Caenorhabditis elegans: one gene and its partner. The protein of the gene in region 2 purifies or fractionates together with the protein of the main gene of each other region. This does not show direct contact. Each region holds a gene or a part of one and is shown on either strand. Other genes may lie near its edges.

Evidence for each region. Proteins that work in one complex are often made in the same cells at the same time.
Region 1: the proteins of mina-1 (region 2) and let-2 purify together in Caenorhabditis elegans (affinity purification with mass spectrometry, with the first as the bait; one large-scale study listed by BioGRID). This does not show direct contact.

The regions. Positions count from the first base shown.
Region 1 is NC_003284.9:16,385,853-16,392,116, reverse strand, and holds the start of let-2 (Collagen alpha-2(IV) chain), read left to right. Parts: upstream 1-2,789; coding exon 2,790-2,812; intron 2,813-3,029; coding exon 3,030-3,084; intron 3,085-3,099; exon of another isoform or gene 3,100-3,196; intron 3,197-3,281; coding exon 3,282-3,344; intron 3,345-3,485; exon of another isoform or gene 3,486-3,645; intron 3,646-3,718; coding exon 3,719-3,818; intron 3,819-3,877; exon of another isoform or gene 3,878-4,140; coding exon 4,141-4,329; intron 4,330-4,830; coding exon 4,831-5,006; intron 5,007-5,057; coding exon 5,058-5,135; intron 5,136-5,255; coding exon of another isoform or gene 5,256-5,363; intron 5,364-5,393; coding exon 5,394-5,504; intron 5,505-5,901; coding exon 5,902-6,018; intron 6,019-6,064; coding exon 6,065-6,229; intron 6,230-6,264. UniProt on the Caenorhabditis elegans protein: Collagen type IV is specific for basement membranes.
Region 2 is NC_003279.8:9,515,755-9,521,419, forward strand, and holds mina-1 (Messenger RNA-binding inhibitor of apoptosis 1), read right to left. Parts: upstream 2,983-5,665; 5' UTR 2,944-2,982; coding exon 2,871-2,943; intron 2,820-2,870; coding exon 2,651-2,819; intron 2,604-2,650; coding exon 2,471-2,603; intron 2,431-2,470; coding exon 2,280-2,430; intron 2,237-2,279; coding exon 2,169-2,236; intron 2,124-2,168; coding exon 1,926-2,123; intron 1,878-1,925; coding exon 1,488-1,877; 3' UTR 1,272-1,487; downstream 1-1,271. Other genes in the region: tspo-1 (TspO/MBR family protein), read right to left, coding at 21-85, 944-1,022; set-32 (SET domain-containing protein), read left to right, coding at 3,504-3,605, 3,653-3,960, 4,007-4,247, 4,361-4,492, 4,541-5,086, 5,167-5,286, 5,332-5,436. UniProt on the Caenorhabditis elegans protein: RNA-binding protein which binds to its own mRNA and target mRNAs to negatively regulate gene expression to modulate apoptosis and differentiation in the germline.

The DNA of each region.
Region 1 (6,264 bases), on a different chromosome or scaffold from region 2:
AAATTGATTTATAAACAACAAACTTGTGTTGTTGTTTTTTTTAATAAATATTTAGAAATACTGTGGCTCTAAAAATGTTGCCAACAAAGTGCAAGTCAAGAAGTTTTCAAAACGTTTGGAAAAAAAATTGTAAATTGTTCAAAGTTTTGCAGAATGAAGTATCCTAAGTAAGTAATTTTAATTGGAATTTGTTTGTATTACAAGATAGGTTGAACTCAATTTTGACCACTGTATATATTTTTGCCAAAAATTACCGATTAACAAAATTGGCAATTTATTCACCAAGAACGCTGTCAAAAACCTGTAAATCATTTATAAAAAACGAACATTAAGCTAAGTTTAATAAAAGTTTGATAAACTATTATTTAGAATAAAAATCCCAAATTTTAGATTAAAACTTAGTCTTTAAAATTTTCAAACAAAAAACCGTATGGATCTTTCCACAAAATAATAAAACAACCATATATTAAAATGTCATATAGTAAAATTAAAATTTTTTTTTTTAAATAACCACCGTATATACTTTTAGCACTTCTGGGCAATTGAAAAATTGAGAAAATACGGTTTTTTTTTAATATTTGCATTTGATTCTATAACATCCTGTTGTCTTCAGAAAACCTGCTGAGATCTCAATTCCAGATTTCCCAAACCATCGCAAAAACGTTTCAGAAAGCATTAACCAACAAGTACCCTACTCTCTATGTTTTGCTCTCAGTAATCCTAAGATGATCGATCCCTAAGGCTCGGTGACGAACAACTGCTTGAACTGCTCCTCAAGTTGTGCACTTTGTGCAACACGAAAGGACAATCGAGTGTAGAAACTTTGTTTACACTTTTCAGATGCCTGTAAACAAATTGGCTCATCTTCATCATCTTCGGATTCTTCTTCTTCTTCAAAACTTTTTATAATGCCACATATGTGCGATTCATCTTCTTTTTCTTCCCCCCGTCTCACACATAAGTGTATACAAATTCTGATCAGAGTGGATGAAGAATGTTTATGAAACAGCAAAAATAAGCGTTTAGTCTTATTCTTTCCTCCATCACATTGTGGCGGACACCAAACATCGAAAGAGTCTGTAAGAAAAATATCTGTACGGTTTTTCCAAACTGATATGTTGATTATTGTGCATTTCCTTTCAGAACTTCTCTTTTGAAACAATAATAAAATTGTACACATCTCGTTTTTTTTCCGGTTTACTAAATTTCAAAAATTTAGATGTACGACCTTGTCCAGATGGTCTACATGTGCTCACAGTGCCAGGCATCCCTCGAATTGCAGCAAAAAAGAGCTAGAACCACAGCCGGCTTAAAGTACTAGTCGGTGTCATTTTCATCATTTCGAGCAGCTGTTGAAGTGCGTTTCATGAAGAAAAACTTGACCCCTCGACGTGTCGTTTTTATACTCACAATGTTGCCGAAGCGTCAGGAGGCACTTAGTGCCGGCTTGCCGTGGTCAAGGGGAAAGCTGTGATAAGGAAGGATAGGGAGGAATTTTTTCTGGCAAGGATAGCACTTTGAAAACTATAGTTTTGCAAAGGACAGACTATTTTTAAATCTGATTTTTCAACTAGTAGAAATTATGTCCCAAAACCAAGAAAAATTATGTACCTTTTTTGATGAGGTGTCTTGCATAGGTTCGTGTAGCTTACTTGTACTAGAATCAAGCTATTAGTTTTAGAATGCTCACTAAAAATTGTTACTAATGACTAAAGCATTGGTTTCAAAATTTTCATGTCAAATTGCTGGAAATTGATGTCAAAAATTAACCATTACCTAGAAAAAATGCGGTGCTTTGTGCATTATTTTCTTCAAACTTGCAGTCTTTGCTTGTTCCACAAATCGTTTCCAGATGTACTTTCAACCCATTACATTTGGACTTCTTAATCCCAAACTGATTCAGATGCTCATCGGTTATCGTCAATCAATTGCTGACAGCTATGTGCACTTTATCAAAGTTTTCTTGGAAGGGAGGGTCAACAGATTGATAAGAGGAAAGGGGAGAAGATGAATTTAGATCGGTGAATAGCAACATAGAGTGATTGAAGAGATTGAGCATTTGGAAAGGATTTAGAGTACCGAATTTTGGACATTTCCATATACACTGAAGATTTCTCAGTTTGAACAGTTTGGTCTGGCTGAATAGCTTTATTTTTGAAAAGATGAAGGTTGACATTCCTAGGCTTTATTAAAGTCTATTTAGTGTTTTTTGTTTTTGAAATCTATGTAGTCATGTTTAGTAATGCTTCTGAACTTTTGACCTTTCAGAATTAAGTAAACATATACAATTATAAACATGGAAAGAATAAGAAAAGTTTTGCAGAAAGTTATTACAATTTTTTAAATTTTAGCTTATGATAAACTAATTGCAAAAAACACTTGGTCTAAGTCATAATTTATCGGTACCTTTTCAATTTTTCATCTATCTTATTGAACTTTTTCACCCGATCAATCTACTGACCATATGCACATGTTGCGGTCGGTCCCTCCCGTAACAATCCGTGTCGCTTTTTTTTTAGCTCGATTGATTCCGCTAGATTCCTTGCGTTGGTTGTCTATCCGACGCCGGGCATCTCGAACCTCTTCGCTTCCGAAGCATTCGGCTTGATCTTTCGCATATTACAGCGTGCACTGCTGCCGTCTGTGCCTCGGAAGACGACGGACGGAGCAGCGGTCCCTCCTTCTCTCTCTCTCTTTCTTTCGATCGTTTTGGACGCCCCGCCTCCTTAACTAAGAGTTGAATCCTTTCTTCTAACTGGTGCTCTCACAGCCAGCGGCTGCCTACCACCATGAAGCAACGAGCGGCTCTCGGGTAAGACTTTCTCTTTTTTGGTTCAACTTACCATATTTGATTTGTTCTGTATTTTTGAACAAATCTTCTTGAACATATTCCAACTTTTGAAATTTTAACTACGTTTTTCAGAATCTAGCCATTGAGTCCTAAACCATCCAGAAATTTTGATTTTTGAAAAAACAGTACTATTCAATTTTAACTTTTTTAAATTTTTTATTTATTTTTAACTTTGCAGGCCCGTGTTGCGACTGGCCATATTGGCCTTACTAGCTGTGAGCTATGTTCAATCGGTAAGCTTTTTTTTTACTTTTTTACTTGTTGAAATATGTAATGAAATATGTAAACTGATTTTTTTTGAGTATGACAAATTATAATTAGAATTTTTTTCAGTAGATTTGAAACGTTAAGCCTAAAAAGTGAACGTTTGAAAACTAAATTTTTTAAAATTTATTTTTTTGAAATTCATATATTTTTCTATAATTTTCAGCAAGCTACATGCAGAGATTGCTCTAACCGAGGATGTTTCTGCGTCGGAGAAAAAGGATCTATGGTACGTTTAATTTTCGTGTTTTTTTTTAAAGAAAATCTCTAAATCTGTAACTTTTTGTTTAGAAGTGCATTTTTCGAACTCCTTATTACTTTTAAGAATAGTTAACTCTCTCCCCAATATCTTCACAACAAGCTCATTGATTGAGCACCTCTTACTGATTGTAACATTTCGAGAGCTCTCCGAGCAAAAGACGCGCTCCGCAGCTGTCACTATCCTCCCATCCAGCGTGGCACCCTGTCAGACGTGGGAGGAAAGGGTCAACGGGGGTCACACAAAGCAATTGTTGAAATCAACACCTTAAGATTTATACTGATTAGTTGACCCTATTAATGATTTTAGACGTGGAATCTTTTATTGAAGAGTCGAAATTTCAGGGAGCACCAGGACCACAAGGTCCACCTGGAACCCAAGGAATCCGTGGATTCCCAGGACCAGAAGGACTCGCTGGACCAAAAGGACTGAAAGGAGCTCAAGGTATGTAAGCAAGTGTCCGGAATAAAAGTACAGAAAAGTGTAGTTGTTTGTATTTCCGATAAAGATAAAAAGGTGAAGCTCTTCAATCATCTTGTCATCTCGCTCCCCTTTGCTTGCAAATTTCAATCACTCAATCAAATCTTTAATCATCTTTGAAGCGGAGGGAGCCAGGTCACCTCGCTTCCCGCTATCTTCTTCTTTTCATTCAATATCTTCCGCGGCGGGGAGCAGTATAAGATAGAATAATTGAGTGGGCTCCCCCCCCTACAGCCTGAGGAGCTGATGTTGTAAAATTGACTAACCTGAGTCATCGTTGTTGCAGGACCCCCTGGACCAGTTGGAATCAAGGGAGATCGTGGAGCCGTTGGAGTACCTGGATTCCCAGGAAATGACGGTGGAAACGGACGACCAGGAGAGCCAGGACCACCAGGAGCCCCAGGATGGGATGGTTGCAACGGAACTGACGGAGCTCCAGGAATCCCAGGACGGCCAGGACCACCAGGAATGCCAGGTGAGGATTTTTAAACAATTATCTAACGATCTGACACTCAAGTTTTCTTAAGTTTTCAAAAATATCACAACTTTTTTAAAAATAATAGTTTCAAAACTTTGTTGTGATAGGGAAGTCTAGTCTGTAATTAAATATTCCATAATACTTTTGTCTTTAATCTTGTTGCAACAAGTTGATTTTAGCTAAAGTCTAACCAGTTAGAAGTATATTAGTACTAATGCCAGCTGTCACAAAAAAAACTTCATTGGAATCTGATTTCGCATTGCGGTCAATCAGCAAACAGCTCGACACTAGAGCAAAAACTTTGCTAGTTAAAAAAAGCAGCATCGCACATACACACATATTTTTCTGGCATCTCAGTTTACACCAACAGTTGTTCCTTTCACTTCTGTCGCTTCCAACCCAGTTTTATGAGTGTTTCGCTGGCAAAAAAACCACAAGATAAATTGCTGAAAATATTGAATTTGAAGTGATCAACAACCAGTTTAATATTTCTTTTAGGATTCCCCGGACCACCAGGAATGGACGGTTTGAAGGGAGAGCCAGCTATCGGATATGCTGGTGCTCCAGGAGAGAAGGGAGATGGCGGTATGCCAGGAATGCCCGGACTTCCAGGACCATCCGGTCGTGATGGATACCCAGGAGAAAAGGGAGACCGAGGAGATACTGGAAATGCTGTAGGACCTTGTTCTTTGGTTTTCGAGAAACTAACTCTTTAATTATTCCAGGGACCACGTGGACCACCTGGAGAGGCTGGATCCCCAGGAAACCCAGGAATCGGAAGCATTGGACCAAAAGGAGATCCTGTGAGAAATTGGGGCTATTTGGGTTTTGGGATATTTCTAGAAATTTTGTTTCTCCCTTTCAGAAATGCTTTTTCATTCTGAACTCCAATCATTTTAATTATTGTATTTTCTAAATTCTAGGGAGATCTAGGTTCTGTCGGACCACCAGGTCCACCGGGACCACGTGAGTTCACCGGATCCGGCTCAATTGTCGGACCTCGCGGAAACCCTGGAGAAAAGGGAGACAAGGTACTGTTTATTAATTCTTTCTTTTTTTAGGGAGACATTGGTGCGATGGGACCGGCCGGTCCGCCAGGCCCAATCGCCTCCACCATGTCCAAGGGAACCATTATCGGTCCTAAGGGAGACCTAGGAGAGAAGGGAGAGAAGGCAAGAATACTTAGAGCAGGCTAACTGAACGATTCCAACCATTTACAATTTTTTACACCCGCCTTATTTACGCTAACTCTAACAGTTTTCGCCTCAGTTTCTAAAAGAAGCCTTTTTTTCAAATTACTTCTACTTTCTTGCCTTTCAAGCTTCTTTTGCATGATCTTCCCAGAGTTCATATAGACTAGAATAGCTGTATTATTTGGCATTGGAAACTTCTACTACTTCTAGCTCTGCCTTATTCTCTTTTCATTTTTTGAAACGGAAAAGAGAACAAAATTTTAAACTTACACGTTTACTGTTAGTACGAATCAATAACTGCATAGCTGGTTTTCCGTGTGTGTTTTGCTATACATCTAATTTCCCCTCTATGTTTCTAATATGTTTTGTGTTGCAGGGAGAGCCAGGAGAGGGAGGTCAACGCGGTTACCCAGGAAATGGAGGACTCTCAGGACAGCCAGGACTCCCAGGAATGAAGGGAGAAAAGGGATTGTCTGGACCAGCTGGACCAAGAGTAAGCATCGAATCCTGCTATATTTTATTAAAGATTTTGATTTTAGGGAAAGGAAGGTCGCCCAGGAAACGCTGGACCACCAGGATTCAAGGGAGATCGTGGTCTTGACGGACTTGGCGGAATCCCAGGACTTCCAGGCCAAAAGGGAGAAGCTGGATACCCAGGAAGAGATGGGCCAAAGGGTAACTCCGGACCACCAGGACCACCAGGAGTAGGATTTTGTTTTGAAAACATTAAACATTAAAT
Region 2 (5,665 bases):
CAGTTTTGTCTAGAAATTACCTGAGTGGTCCAGAATGGCATTTTTTCGTAAGCAGCAAGACGACAGTGCTCCTTGTCAATAAACTCTGTAAGAAAAAATTGGTTTGCGAAACGGGAGTTAAAACGAGGTGCACACAAAAGTAAACGAAAACAGGGAAACGAGAGGTTATTCACGTTATCTCTGCGAATCCACACAAACTGGGCGAACAGTTGTATTTTGCATCATTTTTTTAGATTATAATTCTCTTCACACTGATTCAGTGACAGTCCGTCTGATAAATAAACTGGAAAACAAGAAGAAAAGGTCATCGAAATTCAGGCATTGGTGGTGGTTGGTGGCCGATTGTTCTCATCGGTCATTTAAAATGGCAGAGGCAGTAGGAAAAGAACAACAAAATTTTACGAGAGAGCGTACAGAGCGAGGAGTGTGTTAGACAGAAGGACATTGAAGAGAAAGCCAAACGAGTAAACATGCTGTTGCGGATCGATTTTGAAAAGGGAGGCTCGCGATTTCATTTTCAAGGAGAACCAAAATCTTGTGCTCTCGTCAACTTAAGAGTTGGTGCACGAGTTTTGAAAAAAACATGGATGGATATATAGTCATTAATGAAAAATAAATAAAATGACAGTTCGTCCAAAAAATAATTGTTTTAAATGTTTCTGAAACGGAAACATCAAACTTGAAGATAGTCTGAATGATCACAGCGAACACTACTGACATTCTAACGCCAATAAGTTATATCAATTGGAAAATATAAGTTTTTGCTAGTTCTAAATGCTATTGACAGTTGCGAATAGCGCGTGTGAGGACGAATGTTTGGCGGTCAGGCGGGCGGTCACAACAAAAATTGAGAAGGGATCAGTGAGTAGAAGAATGTACATGCTTTGCAGTTTAGAACGGACAATAAAGAACATAGAATATAAAATCTACAGACGCATAAAACCTTTAAATACTTCTCCAGTTTCCGAATGGATATTTGACCAGCTTTTCTCGAATTCACCGCGATGTTCTTGACAAGTCATTTTTCAAATGAATTATAGAAGTAGAATGATATTTAGAAAATATATTTTAAGAAGTCTGGCAAAACTATGAAAACGATCAGGCTTCACTAGAGATGAGAATGATACTGGAGAAGTAAACACTACGAAGGACGCCGAACAGAAAAATAACAAGATTGTTGTTCTGAGAGAAATTGTTACGATTGAAAAAAATACTTGTTGTTAAAAAACAATTTTCGATACAGACATTAATGTCGACATTCCTTGAAGTTTAAGAAGAAGAAGTTTTTATTAATAACACACAACGAACAAGGCAATCAGCATTTTACACAAAGCATCACAGGATTAATCTAGAAAACAAAATACATGAGCAAGCAAAAGGAACTAATAAATGAAATGAAACAGAGTTTGGCATCCACATGAAAAATGATATCAGAAGAAAAATAGGGTGCATGATATAGAGGGGACAAGGAACGAATATCACAGGTATTAATCAGACGGGGAAAGTTTACGTGGTGTCAATGCAAGCATCACCTTTGGCTGATCACGGAAACTGCCGCGATGATATTGTCTCGAATTACCACGCTTCTCGGGAGTTGTTGAAGAACTATCTGAAGTGAATGGAGATCCAGGCGTACTGAACCCAGAATCGGGAGGATTTGAAGCAGGTTTGTCCTGGTGTGATTGCATGAGGGACATAACTGCATTGCGTGCTTCCTGACATTGTTCTTTGTTCTGAGCCACGATTTCTACCGGTGTAGCTCCGAATGAAGACTGGACTTCAGTGTGAACGGTAATAACGCAATTGAATTGTCTCTCGATATGCTTTTTCACTGCAGCACGATTTCCTAATATTTTTCCTACTTCCGTGGTTGGAATCTGAAACGATAAAATGTAAAAATACTTTAAAATTGACATTAATCGTACCCATTGCTTGATTTTTTCGACAACGCATGTTTTTGGTGGGGTTAAAGGAAGCTCTTGCACTGGAGAAAGCCTTGGAGGTGGAACCGAAAAATCCGATGGGAAAAGGAGGTGCTTCTCTAGGCTTGCGGAAAGAAGAGGTTCATCCATAATAGACGTCGTCGGCGGTGTCGATGTCAATATCGCGTTCGGCTCGCCCATCTGTAGAAAATAATATTAGATGTCATCTGAAACGTTATTTTCTACCGGAAACACTGAGTTCAGAAAGCTATTTGGTGGGAGGTGTGTTCGAATTTCCGGATTGTACGAATTTGCTAGAACAAAATGAGTATTAGAAGTGTGAAAATTTCAACGAACTGTAGCCCATTCGTGTGGTTCGTTGTGTAGGCGGAATATTCATTTCCAGAAGACCGAAATGTTCTGTCAAACATTCTATCATCATCTCTCTCGCTTTATTGACAGCTTGCTCAGTTCCGAACATTGTTACCTTGCCAGTGAACTGGTCAATCTGAAAAATAAAATCAGCACAGTAGTTTTAACAAGCTCACGATAATATCAGTGCAGCGGGATCTCCGTTGCAAATCAGAAGAGAAGAAGAGAACAACAGCACAGTATGCCCGTGGTAGAAGAGTATGACAAATGTGTGTACAAGATGCATTGAGGGCAGCCTCTCGTATCATACTGAAACAGGTAATTCTAAATCGTTGAGTTCAGCAGAAATTACTAACATTTGAACATCTCTCTTTCGCCATACGTCCCGTAAGATTTTTTCAATTTGATTTATGTCCACTGCGACACCATCAGCACTGCTGATCACAGAGAGATGATCGTTGATTACAACTATGGAGCATTGAAACTGTCCTTCAAGAGCTGCAACCAGAGCGCATCCTTGAGGTTCTGAAAATGATATAATACATGGTTGTTAATGTTTACAAAGCTATTCCCAACCTGCCATGAATGCCTTCATTTTTTGGGGAATATAAAGTTCTTGAGGAACAGGGTACGGCGTTGAGTCGTCCATTTTCTTTTAAAATATCGATTTAAGAAGAAGAAAAGTGCTGAAAATGTATCTTTAGAGACGATAGGAATCATAGGCCTAAAATCATACGCGCCGGTTAGAAGTTAAAGTGAGTAAGGGGATTATTTAATTTTAATTAAAAATAAAATTTATAAATTCGTGTGAACGATTAATTATGCAACACGAAACCTCTTTTTTAATCCACAGTTGAAGAAAAATAGAAAAATTCGAAAAGAAAATCTTAAAAGCAATTAAAGGAACAGGGAATATCTTCACGAGGTCTCACAACGCAAATTACCGTACTTCAAAAATTCAAACTTTTTTGAAAATAGTGTTTTTTGTTGATTGAATTTTTGTTTTTCTGAACTTGCATCCGGCCGGAACGTTAATTTCAAACGATTTCGGGTTCTGTTATAAAATAAAAGTCTAATTTTGTTCATAAGTTTTTACATGTGAACTAAGTTATTTTTGTCAACTCCGCCTATTTTAATTATTTTCGTATTCAAACATTCAGGTTTGAGTGCTATGCTTCTAAATGTTGTCTTTCAGATTCTTGATATAAGATGTCATCGAAATCGAAGTCACGAACGAAGAAAAAGCTTCGTCAACACAGTTCAAGAGGCCCAATCACTGAAATGCTCGCATCAAACATGTGTATCTTTGAGGTTTGCGTAAACTTACGTTTTCTCCTTTTTAACACTTTTATTTAAAGGCACCTCCATTCAAAGCGGAGCAGGATTTCCCGATATATCTTGCCGCCGGCTACGAAGAACGAAGAACGTTTCTCAAAGAATCTGCTTGTCTTGTGGAAACGAAACCAGACGTAGAAAATTACAGCCAGTCGCATGTTAAAGTTCTGAATAAAATCCGAAACGATCCACATCTTAATGGAAACTGGAAACTGCTCCCCAAATATGATGAGGATGTGAAAGGCACAATGATGCGAATATTGGGACAACGAGCAATGATTTCACAAGGAAGGGAACATGAAATTTCCACATGTCCGGATTCCGGCCAAGAGTGAGGAATTAATTTAATTATATTATTTTAATACATTTCTTTTCAGTGTTCCATTGCTTTCGCCGACTTATATTACTCCAAGGAAAAGAATTCGAGTAACAGAGAATCTCACTTTCAACACCTTAGATATCGTTCCTGTCTATTCTGATCTACCAGATGAAAAATTGACTTCAATTCAAATTCCCGATACTCTTCTCTTCGAATATACAGACACGAATGTTTTGAACCCGTGCTCCGCAAGAAACATTGCGAAAGCATGTATTATGTCTCAAAAGGAAGAGAATACGGTACTTTATTCTTCTTTCTTTCCCTGAAGATTATTTCTAGTCAATTGTTCAGTTATTTTATGTATTGCTAAATTTAGTTTTTCTTCAAGGTAACAACTTATTTTCTTTTTCAGATTCGTTGTGATTGTTGCTCATCGAATCCAATTGTACCATGCTACGAAAACGAAAACTGCCCGTGCTATAAATTAAACCAAAAACTGCAAGGATTACAAATAAATAGTTCCAGTCACCCTCCTACCAAATTCGTAAGTCCTTCCGTAAGAATATGAAAAAATTTTTAATAAGAAGTTCAGGCGTCGTTTGATCCAGTAATGTTCTCCAATTCGAATAGTACATTCGATAGATGTATTGGATTCTCCTGCTCTGAAGCGTGTGGCTGCAAAGGAAACTGCACCAATAACAGTTTATTAATTCTTAACAAAAAACTGTTTCCGCTCGAGATCTATCGAAGCAATGAAAACGTTGGATTTGGATTACGTTCATCTGTTCTGATTCCAGCTGGCACGGCAGTATTGGAATTTACTGGAGAAATAGTTGAGCGTAATCAACTAGATCGTGACAGTCAAGATTATGCTTATCAGCTCACAGATAAAGACAATTCGAACTGGAGGCGTCTTTTGGATACAATGAAATTCTCTGATGACTATAAAAAGTTTTTGAAGAAGTTGAGCTACGAAGAATTTTTCATTGATCCAAAAGCCAAAGGAAACGTTGGACGAATGATTTGTCATAGCTGTTCGCCGAATTTAGAAATCGTTCGTGTCTACCAGAAAGGTCTTTCACCAGCTCACGTACATCTCGTTTTCATTTCGCTGTTAAACATTTATCCAGGAACACCGGTAAGCTATTTTATAAGTCTTGATTTGGAAATTTTATACCACTATCAATCTAGCTCATAAAGTTTGTTTTTACATTTCAGCTTACAATGGACTACGGATACAACTACATGAAAAATCATCTCAATGGAAAATGCGAGTGCGGAAGTTTTGCATGTTTGAACAGAAAAAGCTCCTGTCATACAAATATGTCATTCGGAGATGTAAGTATTTTTAAATTTGCAATTTTAATATAACATTTGTTTCAGTTCGCAGCTTATTATCGCAAATTGGACCATCAACAGTGGGAAAGTTGGCACAAGAACATCTGCGAACCTCTTTCATGCAACGACGATGTAGTTGTTTTAGATTAAGTGTTTTTGAAGTTTTACCGTTTTTTTTTCTTATTTTTTACTGATTTTCTTTTTTTCGTAAATAATAAACCTTTATAAAATCTTGAATAACGTATTACGCGAATTAGATTAAATCACATTATTCAACCAACTATACGAACCCATTCGAAACGTTTTTTTTGCTAATTTCAATAAAATTGGAGTTCATATCCATATAAACCTCCGAAAAAAAGTGCCAAACGACTTTCAA